7 linked regions of the Coturnix japonica genome follow. The protein of the gene in region 1 interacts with the protein of each later gene in a pairwise test. Links are inferred from orthologs where the notes say so. Each region holds a gene or a part of one and is shown on either strand. Other genes may lie near its edges. The genes, in order: MID2, SLC25A48, SYT17, HOXB9, TSGA10, UTP25 and GEM.

Evidence for each region.
Region 2: the proteins of MID2 (region 1) and SLC25A48 interact in binary tests that used the Homo sapiens proteins (3 or more experiments, as listed by UniProt). The two-hybrid records come from large-scale screens. The link is inferred for Coturnix japonica from reciprocal best matches to the Homo sapiens genes MID2 and SLC25A48.
Region 3: the proteins of MID2 (region 1) and SYT17 interact in binary tests that used the Homo sapiens proteins (3 or more experiments, as listed by UniProt). The two-hybrid records come from large-scale screens. The link is inferred for Coturnix japonica from reciprocal best matches to the Homo sapiens genes MID2 and SYT17.
Region 4: the proteins of MID2 (region 1) and HOXB9 interact in binary tests that used the Homo sapiens proteins (3 or more experiments, as listed by UniProt). The two-hybrid records come from large-scale screens. The link is inferred for Coturnix japonica from reciprocal best matches to the Homo sapiens genes MID2 and HOXB9.
Region 5: the proteins of MID2 (region 1) and TSGA10 interact in binary tests that used the Homo sapiens proteins (3 or more experiments, as listed by UniProt). The two-hybrid records come from large-scale screens. The link is inferred for Coturnix japonica from reciprocal best matches to the Homo sapiens genes MID2 and TSGA10.
Region 6: the proteins of MID2 (region 1) and UTP25 interact in binary tests that used the Homo sapiens proteins (3 or more experiments, as listed by UniProt). The link is inferred for Coturnix japonica from reciprocal best matches to the Homo sapiens genes MID2 and UTP25.
Region 7: the proteins of MID2 (region 1) and GEM interact in binary tests that used the Homo sapiens proteins (3 or more experiments, as listed by UniProt). The link is inferred for Coturnix japonica from reciprocal best matches to the Homo sapiens genes MID2 and GEM.

The regions. Positions count from the first base shown.
Region 1 is NC_029519.1:1,722,608-1,726,780, reverse strand, and holds the start of MID2 (probable E3 ubiquitin-protein ligase MID2), read left to right. Parts: upstream 1-1,373; 5' UTR 1,374-1,587; intron 1,588-1,753; exon of another isoform or gene 1,754-1,858; intron 1,859-2,461; exon of another isoform or gene 2,462-2,757; intron 2,758-4,173. UniProt on the Homo sapiens protein: E3 ubiquitin ligase that plays a role in microtubule stabilization. Mediates the 'Lys-48'-linked polyubiquitination of LRRK2 to drive its localization to microtubules and its proteasomal degradation in neurons.
Region 2 is NC_029528.1:2,878,344-2,882,391, reverse strand, and holds the start of SLC25A48 (solute carrier family 25 member 48), read right to left. Parts: upstream 2,801-4,048; 5' UTR 2,709-2,800; exon of another isoform or gene 2,027-2,708; 5' UTR 1,727-2,026; coding exon 1,681-1,726; intron 385-1,680; coding exon 341-384; intron 1-340.
Region 3 is NC_029529.1:8,130,744-8,135,016, forward strand, and holds the end of SYT17 (synaptotagmin-17), read right to left. Parts: intron 1,666-4,273; coding exon 1,469-1,665; 3' UTR 501-1,468; downstream 1-500. UniProt on the Homo sapiens protein: Plays a role in dendrite formation by melanocytes.
Region 4 is NC_029542.1:3,139,299-3,143,300, forward strand, and holds the start of HOXB9 (homeobox protein Hox-B9), read left to right. Parts: upstream 1-1,202; 5' UTR 1,203-1,355; coding exon 1,356-1,863; intron 1,864-4,002. UniProt on the Homo sapiens protein: Sequence-specific transcription factor which is part of a developmental regulatory system that provides cells with specific positional identities on the anterior-posterior axis.
Region 5 is NC_029516.1:119,380,700-119,384,199, forward strand, and holds part of TSGA10 (testis-specific gene 10 protein), read right to left. Parts: intron 2,507-3,500; coding exon 2,355-2,506; intron 1,384-2,354; coding exon 1,268-1,383; intron 1-1,267. UniProt on the Homo sapiens protein: Plays a role in spermatogenesis. When overexpressed, prevents nuclear localization of HIF1A.
Region 6 is NC_029518.1:20,186,199-20,189,698, forward strand, and holds part of UTP25 (digestive organ expansion factor homolog), read right to left. Parts: intron 2,986-3,500; coding exon 2,897-2,985; intron 1,704-2,896; coding exon 1,293-1,703; intron 386-1,292; coding exon 166-385; intron 1-165. UniProt on the Homo sapiens protein: Component of the ribosomal small subunit processome for the biogenesis of ribosomes, functions in pre-ribosomal RNA (pre-rRNA) processing. Essential for embryonic development in part through the regulation of p53 pathway.
Region 7 is NC_029517.1:114,171,387-114,174,040, forward strand, and holds part of GEM (GTP-binding protein GEM), read right to left. Parts: intron 1,106-2,654; coding exon 1,029-1,105; intron 538-1,028; coding exon 333-537; intron 1-332. UniProt on the Homo sapiens protein: Could be a regulatory protein, possibly participating in receptor-mediated signal transduction at the plasma membrane. Has guanine nucleotide-binding activity but undetectable intrinsic GTPase activity.

The sequences.
Region 1 (4,173 bases):
AGGGAGAGATGAAAGAAGGAAGGAAGAGAGGAGGGCAGGGAAGGAAAGAAGGGTTTAAGTATTTTGAGGTCTGTAGGTGATGGGAGAAAAGTGCAGGTCTTCAGCACTCTGGGAGCAATGTTACTGATTTCATTCTAAGTCAGACTCAGGTCTTACTGAATACATGTGTGATTTGTTCCATTATTAACAGCTGGGTGTGCTTTACCTGCTGGTACCTGAGGTTGAAACCAGTGGGAGATGTGAGTAAATGCAAAAGGGCTGTTCTGAGTGAGCTGGGAAGGGTGGGAATGTTTCTGTAAGGTCAGGGTAGGTCTCGTGGGGCTGTTGTGGCTGCTGCAAGCCAGTTTCTCTTTGGCAAGGCACAGAGATTGCCCTGCAGCATCCTGCAGGAGCGCAGGGCTGGGGAGTGTGGGTACGCTGGGAGGGGTCTTGAGGGCATTACAGCCCTCCATCAGACATAGCACTGCATGCTGCTCCCTCAGGGGGCTGCAGGCTCTCTGAAAGCCACATCCCATGCCAGCTCCCAGCAGAGGCGAGCATTTCCCTCCTGTGGAAGACAGCAGGATGGGGTTACACACAGGCACAGTGCTGCCAACGCAGCCCATTGCCACTCCTGCAAGAGCTGTGCACAGGGATGTACACCTGCTTCAGATGCTGATGGTGAAATGGAAGCGCATGGCTAAACCACCGATCCCCAGAGAGGTGTTGGGCAATGGGTGCTGAGCCAGCACAGCCTGTTCCGGCTGTTCCACGGTTTGCTCAGCATAGGAAATTGGGAGCGGGCTGTGAAATTCCAGAGCTCAACATGAGGTGGTGCAAAGCATCCACTGCCCGTCCCCGAGCAGCGGCAAAGGAGGAGAGAGCGACAGGCAGCAGGTGAGGGAGGTGCTGGGGAGACGTGGAAAGCACGAAGCCACCGAAACACAAGAAGAAAAGGTGATGATATCAGGGGAATTCATCTGGCCCTGCTCATCACTAGAGCTGCTCTGGAAGAGGGATTCAGATGTTAAAAGGATTTTATATGTATATATATTTTTTCCACCATAAGAATAGATGTCAGAGGGCGAGTCGTGCTTTAGAGCTGTTAGTTACTCACAGAGCTCCCCAGGCCCGCGGTGTGACTGAAGCACCTTCATTTCCCATTGGTGGGATGTGGATGTTAACGCACACCGGGACCCCCCCGCTCCCAGCAACACGCTGGGTGTGAAAAGCAAGGAACCTCCTGACCCAAATGCACCGACATGGGAAGGGTGACTCCAAAACATCCAGACGTGGGGCAGCCGGGGGTGATCTCCTCATCCCTACGGAATGTGACTCACCCCGCAGCGGTCGCTGTGTTGACACGGAGCTGCCCTGCCGGCTCCACGCAGCGCCACTCGGTGCCTGCTGGCCCAGGGTCACCTCTGCCACCGGCAGCTCAGCGCGGGGCCCAGGCAGCACTCCCATAGGGAAATGGTCTGGGGGGCGAGCGGAGGGCTGCGACGGGGCCACTTGTTTTCTGCATGGATATATGCAATAAGGGCTGATGTGGCTCGGCTGCAATCAGGAAAACCGTCCTCGCTGAGCGGTGCTGGAGAGGGATTTAAGGTGAGGATGGGGCGCGCGGTGGCTCCGCTGCTGCGATCTCCCCTTCGTTTCCCAGCCCTACGGGGGCGGTCGGGCCCGGCCCGGCTCGGCCTCACCTGGAGCGGGCGGGGCGGTGGGGGGCGGCGGGGCGGGCAGCAGTTCGGTCCCGCCTCTCCCTCCCCCCCCGCCCCGCAGCTCCGCCGCCGCCCGCCCGCGCCGCCGCCGTCTCCCCCGCACCGCCGCCGCCTCCAAGATGCCCGGGCAGCGGCGGGGAGGCTGCCGCAGCCCGCTGGTAAGGGGAAGGGGGGCACCGAGATCGCGTGGGGGCACCGCAGGGAAATAAAGAGGAGGTTAGGGGGGGCTGCAGCCCCGCCCTGGGCTTTTTTTAGGGGTTCCTGTAGGATTTATGGGGCTCCGCCATCCGGTTATAGGGCGGGCGGCTCCGTGCTTCCGTGCCGGCCCTTTTCCCCCGGAACCGTCCCGCTGCCTTTTTAATGTAATGTAATGTTTTGGGGTGGGGGGGTGCCGGTTTTTGCCGCAGCCGGTCGGCGGGGTTCGGCCGTGAGATCCGCTGCCCCCCAACCCGCTGAAGTTGAAATGGAAGCGGACGGTGAAAGGAGCTCTTCTCCCGGCTCCCAAAAACGCGGCGGAGCGCGGAGAAATGCGCACCGGGCATCGCGGGCGCTGCGCTGAGCTCCGTGCGGTGCTGCCGGTCCCGAAGGGCAGCGCCGAGTTCTATAAGACGCTCCCCAACACCGTACGGTGCCCGAACCCGCTGCCCTCTTCCCTCTCCCAACCCCCCGTCCCGGAGGGTCCCGCAGCGCTGCGGGGTTTGTGCGGGGCGTGAGATGCGGGAGGCGCTGCCGGGCGGCTGCAGGTGCTCCTTGCTGCGTTCCGGGTTCGGGTTTTCCCCCCTCCGTTCTAAAGAGCGCTCCTCGCTCGGCCGCAGAACGCTCGGGGTGGGGGAGGTTCGGCCGACACGAAGGGATTTGGGCTCCTCGAGGCCGCCCATGGGAAGTACGCAGCGATGAGGAGGAAGGCTGAAGGAAGCTGCCTTGGCTTGGGCAGGTGCTGGTGTGGTTCCGGAGCTCCGAGCGTACGGCTCCGGATCCGTGTGCTGCTGTCCGTGTGCCGGCAGGCGGCATGGGATCGGCCCCGGAGCGCGTGAGATGGGTCGGTGACTTTGCGTTGGTTTGTATCGGGGTCATCTCTCCTTTTGGTGGTGGGGGGCGGCGGGGGGCGCGTTCTCCAGCACGCTGTGGGTTTCTGCACGGCAGAGGGTGGTTGGAATGTGGGGTTTTAGGGGTTGGGGGTTTCTCTTTTTGAGCCTCTCGGGTCAGCTCCTGACCCCGGAGCCGTGTCACACCTCAGGGTGACAGCTGTGCCGCCTCACCGGAGATGCCACAACCCCCAAACCAACGCTGTGCTGCACTCCGTGCCCAGCTCTTGCCAAATTTCTCCTCCCTCCAAATAATGCAGGCTACGGCCTGCCCCCAGCTTGCCTTTTCCCAAGTAGAGGGCACTGCATGGAGGCCAGCGAGAGCCTCCCTTGGCTGTCACCTCCAGCAATGTGATGGCTTTGTGCCCCGGAGGGGGGGCCCTCCATCCCCCCCACTCACAGTCCTCGTGGCAACTCTGGGATGTGCTGGGACAGGGCTGCAGTGTGGGGTGGTGGGGTTTGGGGCTTAAGAGGGGTTTCTGGTGGCCCCAATGGGCTGTGACAGCTCTCCTCCCACACTGCTGGCTGGCAGAATAAGTGCCCTTTGTGCCGCTGGACACGCTGCCCTTTCTTAGGAAATGGCCCATTGTGCAGCCTGGAGGCTCCGTCCATCCATCTGTGGGTTCCTCCCCAATCAGGCAAACCCAGCATCTGGGATGCCCCATTCCTGCCCCCTCCTTGTGCCCACATCCCTTTCCCTGCGATGCTCGTGTACGTTCAGAGCTCTTGTCCCCAGCCATGCCCCAGCATCACTGCATCGCCCGGTGCACAGCTGGGGCTGCACCAAATGGGGCTGAGCCTGGTGCATTACAGCAGTGCAGGAGATGCTTCCTGCAGGCCCCACGGCGCAGCACATCGTGGGGTGTCTGCCAGGAGCAGCCCGACTCGCCGGCTTCCCATGACGTGGCTCAGGGTTGGGAAATGAAAGGGGCTCTGTGCCTCTGCGGAATACCATTACCATTATTTATTGCTGGAATTTCTGTCTCACAGGGGAATTAATTGCTGGCTCTGGTCGTTTGGGTCTTGTTTCGCCAGCCACGCGCTGGGGGGAACGGCCTAGAAATTAAATGGCGTTTGAATATACAAACTCAGTTCTGAGTTTGGTTGACCAAAGTGGGGGGAAAAAATGAACTTCAGGCTGAGCTCTTCCTGGAGCTGAGCTGGAACGTCACAAGCATCAGCTGGCCCAGGGTCTGCGTGGGAGCAGAGGGAACATGCACATGTACATCTGTGTGTGCACGGCAGGAGCTCAGCATCCCACGGTGCAGAGAGCTTGGAGGTGGGTCAGGCACTGCTGTGGGTTACCCTGGGTGGGGACCCATTGGAGCTGATGCCTGGGTGCTGCCATCTGATGGAGTTTAGGGGTGGGAGAGCTCGTGGTGATGGTG
Region 2 (4,048 bases), on another chromosome or scaffold:
CACAGCACACTCACTACCTCTTGAATGCTTTTCAGGTGGCAAAGTTCAACTGAACATTAGCAGAACTGTTTGGTAAACCCAACATGATGTAAGGCCAGTTTTACTTTTCTGTATTAATCCCCCACCTGAGGAACCCGCACACGTATAGGGCAGCCCTTTGTGCCACTCCAAAAGAAAAGAGGAAAAACACTCTGGTCTATGACAGCCTTTCTACCCAGGCTAAGTTCTGCCTTGCAGCAATGGGAAAAGCAAAGGTCTTTGCAGCATCACCCTAAAGGAGCCCACCTCCCCACCTGAGACTTTTGGGGTGGTGATGTGAGAGCAAGGATCAGTGCTTTACCTTGACAGTGTCCAGGGGATGACCCACAACCACACTGGCAGCTCCTGGGGATGAAAACAGAGAATTAAGCAAGATGATGATGAACTTTTTGCGCTGCGATAGGAAGCAATGGGCTTGGATGGTGACTAATTTGTGCTGCCTCCACACCTGCAGGTCTCAGTGCAAACCTACATCCCCTTTGCTGGGTTAACATCAATCCTTTAGTGACCTTGGGAATTTCTCACCTGTAAGGTGGTCAGACTAAAAAGAGCACAAAGCTGTTAGTCAACACATTATGAAATGATGAATGAAACACTAAAGCATCCCCCCTGTCCCAGACCTTGACCTGAGACCACCTTCAGCCCAGTGTTATACATGAAAACTCACACTGGATATTAGGAAAAGCATCTCCAAAAGAGCAGTGATGCAGTGGCACAGGCTGCCCAGGGAGGTTGGGGATTCTCTGTTCCTGGGAGTGTTCCAGGAACATAGAGATGCAACACCTGGGGACATGGTCAATGAGCATGGTGGGATGGGTTGGGGTTACACTTGGGGATCTTAGAAGTCTTTTCCAACCTGAATGGCAGCTGAGTGCTGGTGGCCATTCACCTGTGATATCCTGCCCTGTGCTTAGGGTATACATCAACAGCACAAGACCAGCACAGAGCATTCTGGCAGAGATTCTAGTTGTATTAGATTGTCCTGTTTAACCCAGTGTGGCTGCTCGGGGTCTGTGAGCCACCTCACCCCCCTGTCCTGAGCCTGGCGTCAGCACAAGGCTGCAAATTGCTGTGAGTGCAGCACTCAGCCCCACGCCCTGCCCATCCCCACATGCTTTGCCACCTGTCACATTCAGCAGGAACGTGAAGTTCGGAACTCTCAGACACAGCACAGCGCGACCGTCCCGACAGCCCTTTGCCTTTCCTTTCTTTTCTCTTATCTCTATTCCCGACAGCTGCGATCAGCATTTTTTCTCTTTTTTTGCAAATCGGGTCATTGCCCCGTCCCTCCCCGCTGCCTGTTTGCTGCACCTGGAGCCCCGGGGCACCGAGGGGCACTCTCCAGGGGTGTGCGCGGCTGCGGAGTGCGGGTTGGCTGCGACGGGACCCGGCCGAGCACGGGCTGCTACCACCGGACCGCAGCCCACGGAGCGGCGTAGAGGCAGCACCGGTGTCCCCGTGTCCCACCTGAGGGTGAGCAGAGCGGTGCGCCGCCAAGATGCTGCTGCGGCTGCTTGAACTTCATTACTTGTTCTTTGGGAGCAAAAAGCACGCAACTCCATCCCCCCTCCCCCCAACCCCCGGTCCGACGCACAGCTCCCACATGCCACGTCTGCTCGCCCCCAGCCCAGCAGCACTCACCGCCCACCCAGCCGGCGGCGAAGTCCTGGAGCTGGAGGCTGCCCATATCGAGCCGCTGTAGAAGGGGACCCTGGGGGGGTCCCGGCGGGGCCGGAGCGGACGGCTCGGAGCGGAGCCCGGCGGCGGTGACATCACGGCCGGGGCTTAAAGGCGCAGAGCGGCCGCCCCCGCCCTACCACGGGCCCGTCCCGTCGGGAGCGGCCGCTCCGGTGCCGCTGCCAGGGCCGGGAGAGGTGGGGCCGGGCTGGGGCCGGTCCGCTCTCGGCTAAGCGGGGTCAGATGCAGCGCTCTCCTTTTCACGGTGGAGCTGTTAGGGCCGGGAGCCGAAAAAGCAGAATCGCTCCTTCTTGAAACAGACAGAAGTTGAGGGGAGTTTCTTGAAGGATAAAACCAAAGATTGTTGGGGGATTGTTCTATAAATACCCCCAAATTAATGGATTTCAATGGTGAAGAGCATCTCTCGCTGGTTTACCGTTCCTTTGAAATCTCCCTGCTGTTTTTTCAGGAGATGCACCCCCTTCCCTACTTTGAGAAACATTGAAGAATCTCTCCCCAGCTCCTTCTTTCTTCACAGCATTCACAATTTCCTTAGGTCCCTATTCTCCCTCAGCCCTGCCTTCATTGGATTCCAGAGCCCAGCTCTGTTATTTTCACTCTCTAGTTTAGCTCACCCTCCCCCAACATCTCCCTGAGCAGTGCAACAGAACCATGGAAGGAACACACCAGGTTTTAGTGTTTTGATCTCAAACCCTTCCCTGATCATTCCCGGCATAACTTTGACTGATACTGAAGACTGAACTCTCCTTCCTGAATCCCTGACTTGGAGCCCAGCCTGGCTATTTCACCTCCTGTGTCATTAAAATCTCATGTCTTATGCCAGAATAACATCCAGATGCTCAGCAGCACTTCTGCTATCCCCTTGCTTCTAAACCAGATCATCCTTGTGCTCTCCTTCCTTTGACTGCAGGGAGAATGACTTGCAAAAGATGCTTTGGACCTTCCCCATCTTATGTACACATCTGTCTCACCTGTAATTTATGACAGCCTGAAGTGCTTTCTGTTCTGCAGGAGTCAGATTGCCACAGATAGCAGCTCCTTGGATCAGTCCTAGGTGCTTCCTGAGAAGAATGGTATCAGGTTCCTATTGCCTTGCTGGAATATTACATTGTTTTTGTCAACAAGTGTTTTGTCTGCATATTCTGATAGGTACATAGGTGGGTAGTTCATAAACAAGAACTCCTGAACACCTAAATAGTGCCTTAAAATATAATATTATATAAAATATAATGAAACTGCCAGTGAAAGAATTAATATGTGAATCTGCACTGGAATAATCATCATTTTCCACAGAAAGATACGTAACAATTCAAGCTGTCCTTACAACAACATTCCCTTCTGTACATGTGCATTGGAAACACAATCGCTGGGTTGGCTGAAGGGAGCTTTTGCCTACAAACTGCTTAAAGGGATTCAATATGAGGTGTGTGGTTGTCAGCTCTGATCAGTCTACACCCAAAACCTGAGATGCATCAATGTGCAGAGCACCACATGCCCCCCATGCAGGGGCTGCTCCCCATCCACCCACTCAGCTCTGGGCCATGTAAATGTCAGAGACAACACACAAACTCATCCATTGTTTGTTTCTTCAGATGATTTTGCTTTCTTCCTTTGAGAAGAGATGGGATCCCATATTTGCAGTTATACAGGATGTTATCCTCCTTTTCCATGCACATTCTCTCACAAAGCCAGAACTGGCTGACTGAGCTAATTATTCAGATCACAGCAGCATTAATCATCAATCTCAGCAATTCTCTTTAACACCAAGCAACACGTTTCCACGCCAGATTCAGAACATCTGCTATCTCAGGCAGAACACTGGACATGATCTTTGTGCTGAAAGCTTAACTGAAAGCAAATGTTATGAGGGCTTCAGAGTAACTCTCCCAGCCTGGAAGAGCAGGATGGGGTGGATGCCGGGAGCAAACAGCAATGCTCTGGAAGATGTTCCTCCAAACAGACTCAGCAGCCTGCAGGGCATTTGAACTCTTTGCAATACCCAAAAAGCCCAATAAATCAGCCCTAAAATGTACAGTCATTTGTGCATAAGCTCAAAGTGCTTGATATTCACTTGTTAAAACAATTGGCAGCTGCATATTTGTCCTCAAAGATATTGCAGGCTGCAGCCAAGCAGTGAGCAGAGCAGCTCATGGCTGTCCACAACCAGACAGCATCAGGGTCGGTGCATGCAGTTCACAGCTGCCACAGGCTCTGCTTGTGCTGACAGCACTGTTGTATGGAGAGCTGCAAATGGAGGCAGATTTTTGCTGCTCTGAATCCCAGCCTGGCTCTGCAGCTGCTCACAGGAACA
Region 3 (4,273 bases), on another chromosome or scaffold:
CTTGGGAACACAGTCAGCACTGTTCCCTTCTAATTCTTGGCAACCAACCTAAGTTTACAGCTTTTTCTGGGACTGCAGCAAACCCTTCTCTCTTGTGGATGCCATCCCTTCAATATAGGTTGTGAATGGGCAGAAAGCAAGACACAGATTCTCCTACAGCCACAATGCTGGTTTAAAATAAATCAATCTTTTACAATCTGTGATAAGTTGAGGGCAGCTCCTGCAGAGCACAGCGACCCACAGCCCCATGCAGACACCACACATCAGACTCCATCTCTTCAGGGTGCTCTGGCAGGGAATGCACCCAGCAGGAATGGGGCTTTTGGCCACCAAGCAGGTAAGTCCGTGCCAGCTTCAGCCCTGCTCCACCAAAACAACTTTCTGCAGGTGAACCCAGAGAAAGGCCAGCTCCAGCCTTCCGGTTTGCCTTTACTTGCACCATAAACATAACTGAGCTCAACGCAAGAATTAATTCTGCTAACAGTTACCACCTCAGGGTGTGTGGCACAATTAAATAGATTTTTATTGTCAATAAATATACAACCTGCATCATACCAGACAATATGCCGTGGAAAAAAAATAATAATAGTAATGTACAGAAGCAACCAATGGGACAGTTTGACCACACCTACGTTCATGTGCTGACCTGGAAAACTACCTCAGTAAACACACACAACACAGAAGGAGTCACTGCAGTCTATCAGGGAAGTAAAATTGTGCATTGGGGGCATTCTTAACTGCAGAAGTCCCCACAGCAGGTTTCTTTTGCACTACATCAGGTAGGACTGAGAAGTATAAATGCTACTGGAGACATTTACTCGCTATATCATCACAGTACCTATTGGACGCACACAGACTGCTATGGAGAGTGGCAGACACTGCTGCTGGCAGCATGTCGGCCCCGCACAGCAAGGGCTGCATGTGCTGGCCACGAAGTAACAGGAGCTTAATTCTGTTGAAACAAGTACAAGGACAAAACTGGAGCCAGAATCGACTTCACCACAGCTTCTACCATTTAAAAAAAACATCCTAGTCTAATTATGACGTTCACCAACAAGAGCACACAGGTACGTATATCTCCTAGAGGACGAGTCATGGATTTGGATCATAAGGAGAGTGGACACAACTCAGAACTCTTCCCCATCTTGGCATGTCCAGCGGCACCTCCACCTGCCACCTGCTGCTCTGACACTGAAACAGCAGAGCGGTGCCGGGCGCGGGGAGCAATGGGTCCGGCCAGTCAGGCGGCCGGTGCCACCGAGGAGCTGCTGGCACAGGACCTGGCAGGACATGGTTGGCTGGTGCTGCAGAGGTTTGCACAAAGGCCAACGCAGCCAGGTGGGTACTGGCAGCTGCTTCAGTCCAATGGAGCTGCTGTGGGGTGGGAGTGAGGTTGGGTGATTTGGAGGTTGGAGTTTGTTCCCTGCCATGCCCGCCTGTTCGGTTCGGCCGCCGCAGGTGCCAGACCTCATGTCACCTCCAGGGATGCTGGGGAGACGCGGTCACATTCCTCCCGTGAGCGCAGACTGTGCCACTGCTCCACAGCCGTCCGGTGCGCGTTGAGCATCCGACGCCAGTGGTTGGACTCGGGAGCACCTGTGGAGTACTGACCGATGACGATCCGCCCAATGAAGTCATTGCTGCTCTTCACGTTGTGCCCATACACTGTGGGAAGCAGAAACAGGGACAGATCAAGGAAAGCATCTTGCTCAGCCACCCCGAGCACTGCAGAATGTGACCCCAGAGGATGGCTGTGTCCTGTGCTTGTGCCACCCCAACACATGAGATGTCAGTGACATTCTGAGGATGTTTCTTGAAGAGCTTTTGTGGAAGGTTTAACCAGGACACTGGAATTTTTAGTGTGCAGCTCATCAAGCCAAGAAACAGGCTGGGCAGTTTGGAAGGAATAAAAGAGAAGTTGTACTCAGATTTCAATATAATTGAAATAAACAGGACCTACAAATCCACATTGCTATTTAGCAAGAATATGGTAAACAATTATACCAACTAAAGAAAGGCCAAAATCTTTGTCCAAGCAAATCAGGATGCTGAAGCATCCAGACAACAGCCTTGACTTGGGTAAATGAACAAGAATGACAAGGATGTCATCCTCCAAAGGATCTGGAGGATGATTTTTCAAACACAAACGTCAACGACCCCTTGTAATGATAATCAGTATCATTCCCAAATTACAGATACGAATCTCACACACACGGACTGTCAGTGGGATGCTTATACAGAACCAATTTTCTGTAATTATAACTTGTTAAAAGGCCAGGGAAGTAACCAAGGAAGAGACGCAAGCCTAACGCCTGTCCTTTGTGCTAGCCCAGCCTCGTGGAACAAAGCTGCAGACAGCTGCGGTTGGTAATTATGGGCCTGATGCTGGCCAAGGCTGCGTGTCCTGTTGGACAGGCATAAAAGCACCTTGTGTTTTGAGAAATAAAGCCACAGCTCATTAGGAAGTTGAACCAAAAGTCTACAAAAGCTGAAGCCAGGATAACCGCAGGCACTGGCTGGAGTACTAAAGATTAAAACCTTTCCCATGAAAGAGGAGGACTTCTAAGAACAAACGCCTGCAGGGGCTCCAGGACCCAAGCAGGTAGGTTCAGGGCACTAGCACAGAACAGCACGCTCCCTCTGCAAGTAGCAGCACCCCTCAGCACTGCATCTCAGCCTGTGCTTGAGATGCTTTTTCTTACCAAACGACCTGGGGCTATCTTTGGGAACAGCAAAGCTCTGTTCTCATGGCCACCATGAGCCACGCAGGCAGCTTCGTGCTACTGCAGCATGCCCAGCACACCAGTCCACTGAGTGCTGGCTCAGCCCTCTCCACACCACAGCACCTTTAGCCACACAAGCAAAACCTTCATGTCCCCCACTTTAGGACATCTGTGGCTGCCCAGGTTGTCCCCATTAGTTCCCAGAGGTGAAGCCACCAGCACCTGGAGGCACATCTCCAACAGGTGCTGGTGTCCTGAGGGCAGCTCTGTGCTGCCTGGGGAACTGCCTCTCAGGCTGCAGTAAGGAGCTGTAAGCCACCCATCCCCACCAGTACACAGCCTGCCAGTGTTATTTATGGGCTCTCACATAAGGGAAGAGATCACAAATGTGGTTAGCAATAGTTATGCCAAACGGCCTGCTACAATTTATTACCCTAGCAAAAGCAAACATGATAAAATCACATAAAAGCGCCCCCAAATCAAATGCTTCCCCGCTTTCTAAAATACAGCCGTTTCTTCCCCACTTTTTTGTTTTCCTTTTCTTTATTTCATGCACATTAGAGGATGAAGCTTAATCCTGAGCGACAAAACCATTTCAAACCAGGAAGTCCTAAATGCCACCTATTACTCACAGCTTAAATTAGCAGAGGCAAAGTATCCCAGGAACACCGAATCTTCTGACACAGTCCACAGCAGGATCATAAAACACAAAGGTGCATTAAATGCAGGGGCCATTTGTTTTAGCATTGACTCAAGCATTTTGAATTCTTATAAGGTAAAGCACCTTGCTGGAGGTGTTACTGCTAAATAGAAAAGGCTTTGTCATCCTAATGGAGCTGTCTGAAGCCACAGGACTCATTCCTCATCCCTTCTGGAGAACCTGACCTCTATTCTCATCCTGTCAAGTAATTAGTATGCTGATTCCTTCAGGGTATTAATGTGCTAATTACACAAGCATTGTTGCTTCTCTCATTAACTAATTTCGATAGCACAGAGGTAGACTGATAGCTGAAGAACAGGGTGGAGGTTTCCCAAGGCTGAGCACTTGCTCACAACGCTCCTGCAGACCATAAGTGACAGCACCACATCCAGCCCAGCTGGGTGAACCTGCAGCCTCCCCAGCCACCAGCACCCAACGCTGCAGGCCTGATGCTGTCAGCAGGGGCTCACAAGGTGCCCAGGGCTGATCCAAAGAGCAGCTCCACGTACACTCAATCTGCAGGAGGAGGGCCCTGGCTCTCTACTCCTGCCCCAGGCCACATTAGCTGGCCCTCAGCACCCCTCCAGAGCCCAAGGGGGAGCTCTGAAGAGATCACAGGTTAAACACACTCCCACCAACTCTGCAGGGCTGCTCAGAAGCAGAAAATAGGTAATTATCAGCTGGGTCTGTTGGGCTGACCCACTCTGGTTACAGGCAGTAGACGCTGCTTTCCTGTTAACAAAGTGATTTTCCTGACTGAACCTACACACCTGATCTCATCGGCTCTCTTTCCACCATTGCAGCAATTTACACAATAGCAACATTCATTTCCAGGCCAACTTGGAGCAAA
Region 4 (4,002 bases), on another chromosome or scaffold:
AATTAAAATTAAGCCGAAATGAGTCGGATCGCCGATAACGCCGTCGGGGAGAGGGCGGCGGGGGGGTGGAGGGGAGGCGGCACGCACACATACAAGCGGTGCTATAAGCGAGGTGTGCGGGGGGGGGAACACCGTGACTGGAAAGGCGAGGGATCCCTTTTTTTTCCCCCCCTTTCTTTTTCCACAGGCAATAAATTCAGGACTATAAAAATCCAAGAAAGCTAATGTAAGTTTTATTAAACTCTTTAACCGTCGCAAGTCGGAGGCACTCCGCAACAAAGCAGAGTCAGTGGCGCTCGGTATTTCACCGGGCTTGTAAAGTTCAATGAAGGTTTCTGATTCCAGCGACGTGGTGAATCACGCTGGTTCGGCTCCAGCAAAGCAACCCCGACATTATGCCGCAAAACACGTGAAGATGAATTCATACACGGAGCGGTTTTTGGATGCGATACGGATAGAAGCACTCAGCCGAGGGCATGGGGAGGGGGAGCAGGGAGGAAGGGGGGGGATCGTGTCTGCAGCTCGCTGCTCCGAGCCGTAATGTCACGCATATGCCACTCACATTTGAAATTTCATATTTGCCCCCATGATCGTACCACGTTAGCATCCATTTTCCGATGCCAGAGGGTTTGTTATTTACAACACCCTCCCACGACTCTCGCTTTTCCTTCCCAAAACGCATCTGTATGCGCATCGTGTGCATGTCGTGTAATGCACACACGAGTATGTGTGTATACGAAACCACTGGGGTGCGGGTCGGAGGGAGGGGGGGATGGGGGGGTAGGGGGGGTTGATTTCTATGTATTTTCTGCCTTTTGGTTTTTGTTTTTTGCTATCGTACTCTGGAGCCCGAGTGGCAAAGAATAGCTTTTATCTCCCATTCCCCCATGGTGGTTATTAAAGGCGAAGTGAATACATCAGCATCTTTCATTAAAAAACAAGGAAAAGAAAAGAAACCCGGACCCCCTCCCGGACCCCCCCCCCCTCCATAACAACAGCAAAATCTACGTAGGGAGATATCAGCCCCAGCTCTGCCCGTTTCGTGGCTTTTCTAAACTCCTGACGTTTTGCAACATTGCATAAACATAAAACAATCCATCCTTGATATGGAATGCAAGGGCGGATGACAGCGCAGCGCAGCCCCCTCGGCTTCGATTGATTTACGCCGAGACTGACGCTTTATCAGGCACACGAAAAAAGTTTGACCAATCATTTTGCTGGGAGCTCACAACACAGCAGCCCAACTGTACTTTGTTGGCTAGGAAGTTCGAGAAGGGGGTAGAGTACAAATCTAGATCTGTCCTATATATTTTTTTTTTCCCTTCATTGAACCGTGCTTTGTATGATGTCTGAGAATGTCCATTTCTGGGACTCTTAGCAATTACTATGTCGACTCTATTATAAGTCATGAAAGTGAAGACTCGCCTTCAGCTAAATTTTCATCTGGGCAATATACGAGTTCCAGGCAAGCTGGGCACAATGAACATCTAGAATTCCCCTCTTGTAGTTTTCAGCCAAAACCTCCTGTTTTCAGCGCCTCCTGGACTCCTTTGAATCCACATTCTTCTGGTACCCTTCCTGCCGTCTACCATCCATATATTCAACATCAAAGCGTCCCATCTGATAGCAGGTATCTACGGAGCTGGCTGGATCCAGTGCCCAGAGCAGAGACCCTCCCCGGGCAGGGATCTGTTAAGGCTGAGCCGCTGCTGGGCCGTCCCGGGGATGTCCATAAACAGGGAACACAGGAGTACAATTTAGAAACTTCTGCTGCAAGGGAAGGGATCGTTTCCAATCAAAGGCCCAGCTTCGAGGACAATAAAGTTTGTGAAGGAAGCGAAGACAAAGACAGAACAGATCAAAGTAAGTTATAAAAGTGAGGAAGTAAACAGTATAAAAGCTGGAGGAGGTGCAATAAAAGGGGACAATGCTGCGTAAAGTTTAAAATCAGGGCTTAAAGAAAACTCTCAGATGGCTGATGCCAACCTAAGGGGAGAGGTGGGGAGGGGAGAGGGGTGGCATTGTTTCTGGGGGGAAATACAAATAAATATTAAAACGAGAGTCGTCTCCGACCAAAACAGAGTCCAGAGAGGACAAAAGCTGGATCGAGCCGTCCTCCTTCCTACAGAACGCTGACTCCGGCAGCGGAGATCATTGCTGTAAGAGGGAGTGAGGGAGTGCGGGGCTGCGGGTGGAGAGAACCGAGGGACTGGAGGGGGGGGAGAGTGCGGGGAAACGCGGGGAGAAGGGCCGGGAGAGGAGAGCGGAGGTCGGGGGAGAGAAGGGAAAGGGAAAATCGAGGAGGAAAAGTTCACGTGGGGGGGAAGTAAACAGCGGCGGGGGCTTTTCCGTGCCCGCTGAGCTGCGCTGCGCCGGCAGATTGAAGGCTCGGGGCTCCCCTTCACCTCGGGGTTTGTTGTTTTTTTGCTGCCGTGGGTGTATTTGTCGTGAGCGTTTTGCTTGGTTTCCTTTTTCCCTTTTCTTTTGTTTTTATTCTTCTTTTATTATTATTTTATTTTATTCTTTTTTTTTTTGCACGCCTCCGCTTCTTTCTGTTTCCAATTACTCGTATATTCGTGCCTCACTTCAGGGTCTGACTGTTCCAAAGCCGAAATATCACTATTTCCAAACTCCCTCCGAGTTGAGTTAAAAAGAGAGAGAGGGGGGAGTGCTTCCAGCTTAATTAGCTCTTTATTTGTAACGTAGCCAGATTGGAGAACAGCTAAACTTCAGCCTGTGCCTTTTTAGTGACCTGGTTTCTCTTTTATTAGCCCTAAAACGCAGAATGAAGAATCGTTTTGATGTGTTTAATAAGATTATGGTTAGTGCTGCTTGTAATACGCGTTGTTGTTGTTATTAAAATGACGCAAGAGAGTTTGAGTGTGTAAGAATGGGGGGTCTTCACCCCGCACCGGTTCGGTTGGTACCCGGGGTCCATCTGGGAGGTGAAAGGGCTGAGAGGGAGAAATTTGGCTCCAATATCGCGGCGAATGTTTGAGCAATGAAAGGCGAAGTTGTTGCGGAGTGTTGGGTTGGAGAGGGCAGAGAAAGCCCCCGCTAAAGGTACAGCGTGCGGAGCGTGTGCAGGACACCCTGGCACAGTCATTCCGTGAATTAACTTCATTTTGGTTTTTCCACCCCATCTCAACCCCCCCTTCCCCCTCCTCAACCCCTCACCCAAGTGTAGGAGCAACAGTACTGAAAACGCGGTGTATTCCCCCCTCCGTGTGCACGATGGTGCGGGGGCATTCTTTTTTTCCCCTATCGTTTGGCTTGCACCGTGCACACTCACTCACACACACACTCACACACACACAAAAAGAAAGTCCTGTTCTATTGTGCTGGGCAGAGATCCAGAACAAACTGCAAGCGGGAGGTGAATGGTCGGAGAGAATGAAATATCCAGGTTCTGTGCTCAATGTCCCTGAAATTCAATATAGAAAAGCCTCGTCCAAGAAAATGTTATTAAGTCCTAAGTAAGCGCAGGGACCAGAGCTAAGAGGATGCAGTGTGGTTTCTCTATGGCGTGTGGTTACGACGCATATTTTGTTTTAAATAATAGTTTAATTTGGGCTAATGTGGAGAGGCTGCCAGGGCTGGGAGACGGAGCTGTTTTGCAGCGAGCACTCCCACCCATTTCCCTGACTCTTTCAATTTTTTGAAAGTATTTCACAATAATGAATCTCTAGGCCGGTTATGGCACCGGGATCTGTGAATTTATTTGCTAGGTTTGCAGGAAACCATGTGCCAGAGCCTCCCCTCATTTGCTCGCCCATTCAGGAGGGTGTATACAGTCAGTAAATAAAATACCCGCGTTTCAAATGCCTCCGATTTTAACGATCCGAGATGCGACCGAAAAAATAAAAGAAAATAAAACCCGACCAAATAAAAATGCGTTATGAAGCAGAGCCCTCCGTTGCCATTAAAAGATGGGTAGCAGGATTAACAGTATCAATTATTAACAGCTTTCTTCCTCTTTAATATTTAATTCTGCATATTAGA
Region 5 (3,500 bases), on another chromosome or scaffold:
TGAGATTCTGGAAAGTTCAGCTTCCAAGAACAAAAAGGCTGAAAATATGCTTAGTTTGGACACATTTCCTGGGAAAGATTAAAACATGCAAGATGCCCCTATCAAACATTAAGACAGTACTTCACTATGTCATGGAACCAGAAATTTTTAACATGATATGTAGATTTTAATATGGACAAAATACCTTTTTTTTTTCCTCAAGGCTTCTCAGGAGTGGCTTAAACACCTTAGCCAAAGCATTCAGAAGTTTAAATTTGCTTTGAATGAAATTCTTATTTGAGTTTTAGAGGTTTAGAGCTGAGTAACCAGAGTTTAAAAGTTGTAAGTAATGAAGATATTTTATAGCTGTATTTTCCATACTGCATCTAACAATACATCATGTCAGCTGGATCTATAGAAAAAAATAAGACTTCAGGCACAATGCATTTGTATTTCTGGAAGTGGTAATTCATTCTCTGGCAAGCTAGGAGTAATTCCTGCATTTCTTCCTTCAATGCCTTAACAGAAAAAGGGTACAACATTCCATATTTTAGCCTGGAAAAGAGAAGTCTCAGGGGAGACCTCATGGCACTTTACAACTTCCTGAAGGGAGGTTGTGATGAGGAGGAGCTTGGCCTCTTCTGCCAGGCAACAAACAGGACCCGAGGAAATGGCCACAAGTTGTATCCGAAAAGGTTTAGACTGGACATACAAAGGAACTTTTTTTCTCAGAGAGTGGTCAGGCACTGGAATGGCTGCCCAAGGGAGGTGGTAGAGTCGCCATCCCTGGCAGTGTTCAAGAAGCGCCTGGATAGGGAGCTAGGAGACATGGGTTAGGGGTTTTCTGTAGGTATGGTAAAGGAAGGACGGTCGGACTAGATGATCTTATAGGTCCTTTCCAACCTTGTGATTCAATGATCCATACGCTGCATAAGATGTTCTCCTGATTACATCATCATCTACTGATGCTGAGAGGTACAACCACCAACCTAGTGGATCACAAATACAGCTGATAGGCTCAGACACAGCACATTAACATCAACATACATTGTTGAAACAATAGTATATGTAGCGATCAAAACTTAGAGCTTTCTTTATATAATTTTAAAATATAAAAGCCTTCCAACAATGAAAGAAAATGGACTTTTTACATGAAACATTAACATTATCACAGTCTATTTATTTGTTTTCAATAATTTTGTTCTTTTTACATATTATAAACAAAAGAAAAACCTGCAACATATTTATCCAATTGAATTTTATTAGAAAAACTGTATCTGTCACTCACCAATTTTTTCATCCAAAAGCCTAATTTTCTCTTCATTAAGTTGAATTTCATATTTTTTCTTAGTAAGGCTTTGCTGTGCCTCTGAAAGAATCTGCTCCGTCTTTTCCTTCATTAGACTAAAAAGGAAGATAATTCAGATATTCATATCAGACTTAATTCCTTTTTGGAATGCCACTAAAATGGCAAAAGTTAAGTAAAAGCAAGATACTTCCATTTATCTTAGACTACTGAGGATATTTTATCAACGTTAGCCTTAATCTCCAGACATTAAATCTAAATACTACTATATAGAGTCACAGTAAAGTAAGATTTTTTTACAACAGAGAGACCAAAAAATTGTTAGAAATAATTGCAATAAAAATCTCTACTTAGAACACACATTGGAATTCTAGACCTATTTTAAGTTGGTTTTTAATAGTAGCAACTGATCTTCAAGAACTCTGTTTTTACAGTATTCATAAATCTGACAACTTGTAAAAAGCATTTCTCATGTGCTTGATCTTCCTCTCCAGCCACTAAAGGGTCCTTTTCATCAAGACCTCACTGACCTATGTTTCTTCCCTACAGCTTTACTTGAGTCTAGTCCCACTTTATGTTTCTTAACATGGTTAGGAACTCTGGTCAAGCAGCAGTTGAGGCCAAAAATTCTATGCAAGGCTTCAGTTTTATTTCTGCTCCTACAAAAACTGCAAGACTAATAAATGGATGTTTGAAACTAACTCAACACGAGACTCATTAGTTAGTGCTTGTTTGCTCGTCTCTTTAAGAACAAAGGAAAGGAAAATGATTTTTATATATTTGTAATTAAAACATAATTCATCAAAACACATCAATTGCTGCGGCTTCTAATAGGAAGTTCCTAATCCAAACCATTTTGCTTTTTCACTGAAGATGATATTCTTTATATCATAATAACAAGTCAACATTTTACATATAAATAAGCAATGGGGGAAAACATTTTATTCCAGAACAGAAAGATGTCTTACAAGCACAACTGTCATAAGTTCTCATCCCTTTGAGCTAAATGGAACCCAAAAAACATAGGCTGACACTACTCAAACCAATGCAATTAGATACTTTCACTGACCTCAGTGAAATGTATTCATCTTTCTGGTGGCTTAGTTCATTTTCAGTGTCCTGGGATCTTCTTGCCAATATTTTTACCTCTGTTTCCAGAGAATCAACGTGTTCTTTCATTAGAGTCATTCTGGACATCTGCTCTAACCGTTCACTATCTAACTATAAATACAATTAAACATTAATTAAACAGGAAAAGCTGGAATAAAAAGCTGATTTACATATAGATGCCTATTTACTCAAATGTCCAGTTTAAGGAAAGCTGTATTCGATTACTGAAACATTCACACTTTACATTCAAAGTATTTTCCTTTGTGAATGAAGGACTAGTTTCTGTGTTACTATAATAAAAGTCAGATTGCTGAAGATCAAGTCAATTAGCGCTTGGTATACAGCGACTTTCTCAGTATTACTGCCATAAATTTCATACTGAAGTATATTGCCCTCAAAGGATATCAAATAAACTGAAGAAATAAGACAAGGCTATTCCTGATAGTCATTATGCTTCATACATCAAACATAAGATTAAAGCTGATCTGCCACTCAGAGTAGTCAGCAGATTGTTCATTACAAATGCATTCAATTTAATATTATAACTCTTATAACTGCACTTATATCCTTGGCAAAATCTAAAAGGCTGAAAGGGAGAAATGAAAATGAACAAAACCTATAACCACAAGATCTAGGAGAAAGAGGTACTATATAAATCAATGCTTATCTATTTTAAATCAAGTTGTACTAAGACTGCAAATACAATCAAGAACTGCATTCATTTTATTAATGCTTACATTTTCTATTTGTATCTATCAGCTAACAATTGCACATTTAAGTAACTGCTACTGGATAGAACAGTATAATTACATTTTCTTGTGTGGAGTATCAAGTCTTAGTAACATGCAACCATAAGACAATCCAGATTGCAAGGCAGTCTCCAGTTTAAAGCCCTGGACAAAGTAGCTCTGAAGACAGCTTGCTCAGGGTTTTATTCAACCAGTTCTTGAAAATCTCAAAGGCTGGAGACTGCTTCACTGCTGTTGTATTCAGACTGAACACTCCTTTTTCCAACTTATGACTATTGCTTCTCATTATTTGCTACAATCTAAGTAAATGACATACACTGTTCTCCCCTCATTTCTTCATAGAAGTCATTTAGGTT
Region 6 (3,500 bases), on another chromosome or scaffold:
AATGGAATATTTTCAGAAGTATTCATGATGCCACTGCAGACACAGCACAAATACCTCAGAGCCCCAATTCTCACCAGCCCCGATGGCTCCCAGACATTAAGGAAGAACCTGTTAGATTACCCCTCACTTCTTTATAAGCAAAACTCATGTTCTGTGGGTCATTACCAATTCTGAAGTGGTCATCAATGTTGCCAGCGAAGACGGCTTCATAATCTTCAGGTCTTTTCAGGTTGGGGGGCTTCTCGTCTGGGTCAGAACCAAACTCCCCTTTGAAGCGCTTCTTATTACTTACATCTATTTTTCTTTTCTCGTTCACTTCAAGAAGACTGATGAAAATATGCACAATTCGCAAAGCACATTCCCGGAAGGGCACTATTATCAGCACCTGCACAGATCAACAGTTACAACTGAACAACCCAAAAAACATCAATATCCACAGCTGAGCATGTTAAGTAACTGCTTTGTCTTTGAAGTGCCCACATTTGGGCCTCCCAGCAATCAAAACAAGCATCACCCTCCTTCCCTGACATAACCACTGTGCCTACGTGACAAAATAAGACCTCCCAGATAGGTCTAAACCCTGCAGCCATGGCATGTACTTCTGCCCTCAAACAGTCCCCTAGCTTCTGACTTCCTTACTGCACTTCACTGATCTGTTTCTGAAAGACAGATACAAATGGATCCGCATGGAAGCAGAATAAGCCTAATTCTAACATATGGCAAGGAGAGAACATGCTGGCAAACAGTGTGCTCACAAACATGCAGGGGCCTGAAGTTCGGTTTGGTTCTCCATCTCGTATACCCAGCACAATTACAAGCACACGCTTCTCTCAGTTCCCCAAGCAAACATGAGCTCCCTCAGCATGCAGACAAGGATAAAGTCTGGCTCCTGAATGGATGGCAACAACCTCTGCAAAGCACTCCTGGAAAGTCAACACAGAAACCAAAAGCAAGCCTTTGTCAGGAGTGCAGAAAACACTGAAACCCAGACTTGAAACTGTTCAGCAGACAGTTGGCACAACAAGAGGCAGACTAGTCCAAGTTGAATCTACCTGATAATTAACCAGTGGGTGCTGTGGATTAATGACATGAGCCCCAGCACAACGATACTTTGGACTCTGAGGCAGAAAGTCTTCCAGGCACAACCAAAGAGATGTGGAAAGTCACGTGCCTTGCAACACATCAAGTAACAGCAGCAACAGAAATACCTTCCAGTAAACTGCTCAGACATTTTCATAGTCTGACCAGACTCCCAAAGCAGGCAGGGAATCGCATTTCTGAAGCACTCTCACCTTAGGTCTGGTGAGCCCCTGATCCCTGTAGTCGTCACTGTCGGTCCCTGGCTTTTGGTCACGTTTTTTGGCATTGTTGCTGAGCACCTGGGCATTAGCCTTCAGAATGTGGTTCAAGGCATGTAAGCAGTAAACATGACGGATTTCTTCTCCATTTGTTAAAGCATCTCTCTCCGGATAGAACAAGTCCCTGTAGGTATTCATGATACAGAAGAGCTCTCTTTGTAATGGGGTGAAAGAGGAATCACCTGGTTTGTTTCCTGAGGTCAAGAAATGTTTATTCACTTTCGGCCAAGTGGACTCTAAAGTCTTGTGAAGATAAAGCTGTTTCACATTGAATTCTTTGACTGGTTTTAAAGTTGTCTGTTTCTCCAAAGAGGATGAGAAAGTGAGCTGACCCAGCCTTGGCCACTGAAGGAAAAAAAGCAAACAGAAGAGTCAAATGGAGCAGACCCAGTACAACTTAAAGCACATTATCACAGCTTGTTTAATCAATGTCATGAAATTAGAGCAGTTATCTTTTCATAATAAAAGCTGAAACATTTCTTTCAATAAGCAGTCTCTTAGCATCTAACTCCAGCTCACAAGATCTGGATGCATTTTGCAGTGATATGGCTACAACTGCCACCATTTTGCAGGTGAATAAACTGATGTCAGTTTTGCCAGCGCTGGAATCCAACTGACATTTGCAGGTCAGTCACACCAATGCACTGATTTTATAGGCAAATCCTTTCAGTGTAATAAGAAAAAACTCTTGCCTTTAAGTCTCCTGTCACACAAATCCCATTCTATTTCTATAATGTGGCTGCATCAAATTAAGCAAAGATACGCCATACAATGCTTTAGGTGGCACTGGTATTTCTGACCACCATATTAAATAAATAAATAAATAAATAAATAAAGAGAAAAAAGGGAAAAAAATATATATCCCAGTTAGCTCTGACTGCATCACCATTGGGTATCTTCCAAGGAATGTCACCCAACATATGGGTGACCAGAATGTGAGGCAATGCTCCAAAACAAAATCAGATGTGAGAAAGTTAAGAAGCAAAAGTTTGTCTAAAAAGAATATTTTGAAAAACAGCATTGTTTCAAATAATGAGTTGGTTTTATTCCCGCATATTACTGCCACTATTAACTAAAGTACCGAATTCCTCTTTAGCTTCTTGTAAGTGTGTACAAAGTTAGAACCACCTTGAATCAAGAACACGAAGGTGCATCACAAGCACTGCTGAGACTCTGTGTGGCCACCCCAGGAACTCAGCTGCAGTGCACCTCGCTGCACCCCAGCGCCACCACCCAGAGATCAGCCCTGCTTCCACCCAGTGCCAAGAGTAGCACCAAAACTTCGATCTCATGACTACAAAGCAAATTCAAAAGCTCTGACTTTCAGACGTGTCACCATATGCTGACATATCAGAAGACTTTGTATCTCAACTCTCTCTCAGCATTAAGCAAAGAAGAAACACTTCACCAGCAATAGTGACAAAACCTTGACAACTCCAGAGCCAATACCTAATAACAAAATGAAACTACTTCACTTGTATACAAAGGTATTTTTATTCCAGCATCTCGAGAAACTCTGTCTTGCTACAGAACATTACCTTGCTTTGACTTGAAGTCTTCGATAGCATAGATATTTTTTCTACTTCTTTTTCTTCGAGTTCTTTGTCCATGTGCTGTTTAAAGGGATCTGTTTTAAAACAGAAATAACAAAGTCCTGAGAACTACCGCAGCTAATGGCAGGATCAAAAGTTTCAGAACAGATTTGCAAGCGATATGGACAGTTTTTCTGCCGGCCAACACTGCAGCTCCAACCAGCTATTTCAAAGCACTGGGTGACAAGAGAAAGGATGTCGAATTCTCTCCATAAAAATGGAACAGATTTGACAGATTGCCTATAACAAAAAAAAAAAAAGTAAAAATAAAAAAGGAATGAAGGGAAAGAAAAAGCACTTACTAAAGTACTCAAAGTTTAAATCCCAAAACAAATGTTGGACAGGAAAGCACTGTGCAGTAGAAAAGATTAGTGATATTCTGCCTGAAGCTCTGATGCTGATAAACATCAGTTAGCGCTTCCACTCCTTGCAGGTGAAGTGGAATGTCAACAGTAAAGACTCAAGTGAGCTTAATGCCCTCAATTTATGGTTCTGTTGAAGACTTTGCATTGCTGGGCAGTGACATGAGCACAGGTTGTGATAAAGCAGA
Region 7 (2,654 bases), on another chromosome or scaffold:
TTATATCACCTAAACCTTGGGGAAATCTGCATAAGAAGAGATTCTACTGACTGAAGAGCTTGAGAGTCAACAGTAGCTTCCCCTGATATCTTTCTATTCCTATTTATGGGCTTAGGACTCCTCGGGCTCTGGGACCGTGGCACAAGCTCTTTACTCATTTGCATGAAGCAGAGTGATGGATGCTTTAGCATCTCAGAGCAAGGCACCAAGCAGATCTCTCCTGAAAGGCTGTGCAGCACCTGCCCAGGCCAGTGAAATGAAGGGTGTGAGAGAGTTTTAATTCATCAGAGTTTTTAATTCATCAACGTTTTTATCCTCATCATTTTCCTTACCTGCTACTGAAACTTCGCGGCACCTGACAAGGTCACTTTTGTTGCCAACCAAAATAATGGGAATATCTTCTTTCTGCCGAGCCCTGCGGAGCTGTATTCTGAGTTCAGAAGCTTTCTCAAAGCTTGCTCGGTCTGTGATGGAGTAGACAATCAAGTAGGCATCTCCCACTTTCATGCAGTGGTCTCGAATCCATTCTCCTTCACGCTGTTCAAAGCAAACAATCAGACACTGTTATGCCCAGACAGATTTTGCTTAGAAAATATAACATTGGAGAATCTAAACACATTCCCTCTGTAACTGCACTGGATATGGTTTGAATCACAGTTGTACTAAAAGCAATTCCAAAGTGGTGACCACATGAATACTTCAGCATAAAGGAGGGTGAAATTTGCCCCTGATAATTCATTATACTAGATTTAGATCGGAATGAACACTGTTTAGAAAATGTCTTGAATGTTTTGTCTTATCATTAAAAAAATAAAGAAGAGGTTTGCTCTTCTCAGGCTCACACTACACAGAGCCGTTAGGCGTGCTTGGTTTGCTTTGGGGAGGATATTGATCCCGTGTTTTTCCTAATGATGAAGTATAAAAAAACATATTTTCTTTCCCAAAAGATAACTACTTTTCATACTAGCCCTCATTCATGTGTACTTTTCTTTCAGCATTCAACTAGTATGTATAAATAAATGTTGTACCTTGTTATCCCACATGTCGAGCAGTACAATGGTTGCACCCTCCCCATCCACCATCAGGGTTCTTTCATATGTGTCTTCTGTAAGAGAAAAATGGAAAAGTTGGTAACATATTATTTTGTGACATCACGTACATTATAAAAAAACAAATAGCTTACTAAGTATAATTTTTTCACAGCTCAAGTTAGTGAGCCAAGTTTTGTGCTGGCTCATGTTCAGTTCTTTCCACATTTCCATCAGCACTAAACCTGCCTTCTGTTCATTACTGGTTGTCTTACTTTCCATGATATATGAAGCAGACAAAGATCAGAAGATGAGATGTTTATTATTTTCATTGATATTGTCTTTGTCTTATGTGAGAGAGAAAATAGAACCAGTGGAAGAAATAACCAAAGGCTGAACATTTGCCCCACGGGAGCAGCAGAGTCCAGTGAGGCTGAGTAATGGAAAATATTTGCTTTCACTTTAGCGGGGACAGTTTACGGGTGAACAGTCACTGCTGCTGAGAGCAATACAGCTAACAGCCCACCAAGCAAAGAGGGCACGGTTTTGTGAGACGGGAGCTGCTGAGACTGAAATGATTGCTGCATCCCATTTCTTTCCCATTTCACAGTTTCCCACATTACCTTTGATGTCAAAAAGCAAAGCAGTCAACAAACCACAGCAGTTATTTATTTTGTACTGAAACCAAAATGACCCATATCTAGATTATAAGCGCTGCGTGACTAAGTTCTGCCTAGATCTGGAGGGGCTGTTCCCACTCAATCACAATCAATCCTTGCTGTGAAATTCTCAGTCTAGTTTCCACTTCAAATACTAATTCTTCTTCCCCCCAGATCCAAGGACATTTGGATGAGTAGTGTGAGGCTCAAATCCCCCTCTAGACTTGTGTTGCTGGCCAGTGAAAGATGTTGGGCTTAGGGTTTCTCAGAATACTGAACCTTTCCCTGCACTGTGTGAGGAGTCTGTTCCAGCTATGCTTGTAGATAGGACCATGCCTTAACTCCTGCCTCATACACTTTCTTTTGGGTATTAGTGGAGTGAACTTTTCCCCAAATTGTAATCACAGGCTTTTCTCGAAGCCAGAAATCTACAACCAAGCAAAAGACTCAGCCAAAAATACTCTGTATTTAAAATAAAATCAAACACTGTAAACAAGAGCACAGGCTTGACACAGCTTAAAATTGAAGGATTCAAAGCACAAAGCTAATCAAGAGGGGCATCTGTGTTCATGAGTCAGATGAATCTTATAGTTAGTTGCAAAACTAATCCCTTGGAGCAGCTGTATTCCCCTCTGTGAATTGGCTGTCCTGAGACCATCATCTCTTGCAATAATATTTCCAGTTTGTAAGCTCAAGTTTGGATAATGGTTTCTTTGACTGATCCAGCATTGGCATGGGAACAAGATCCATCTGCACCAGAGGACAACATTTAGAGGACTACTTCTTTGTTCTCCATGACACAGCGAGAGGCTACAAGTACGTAACCACACTACTTGAAGATGTTCTGCCCCTGATCCGAATCATAGAATCATGGAAGCTTTTCAGTTGGAAAGGACCCTTAAGGGCCATCTAATTCAACTCCCTTGCCATGAACAGGGACACCTACAGCTAGATCAGGTTGGTTACA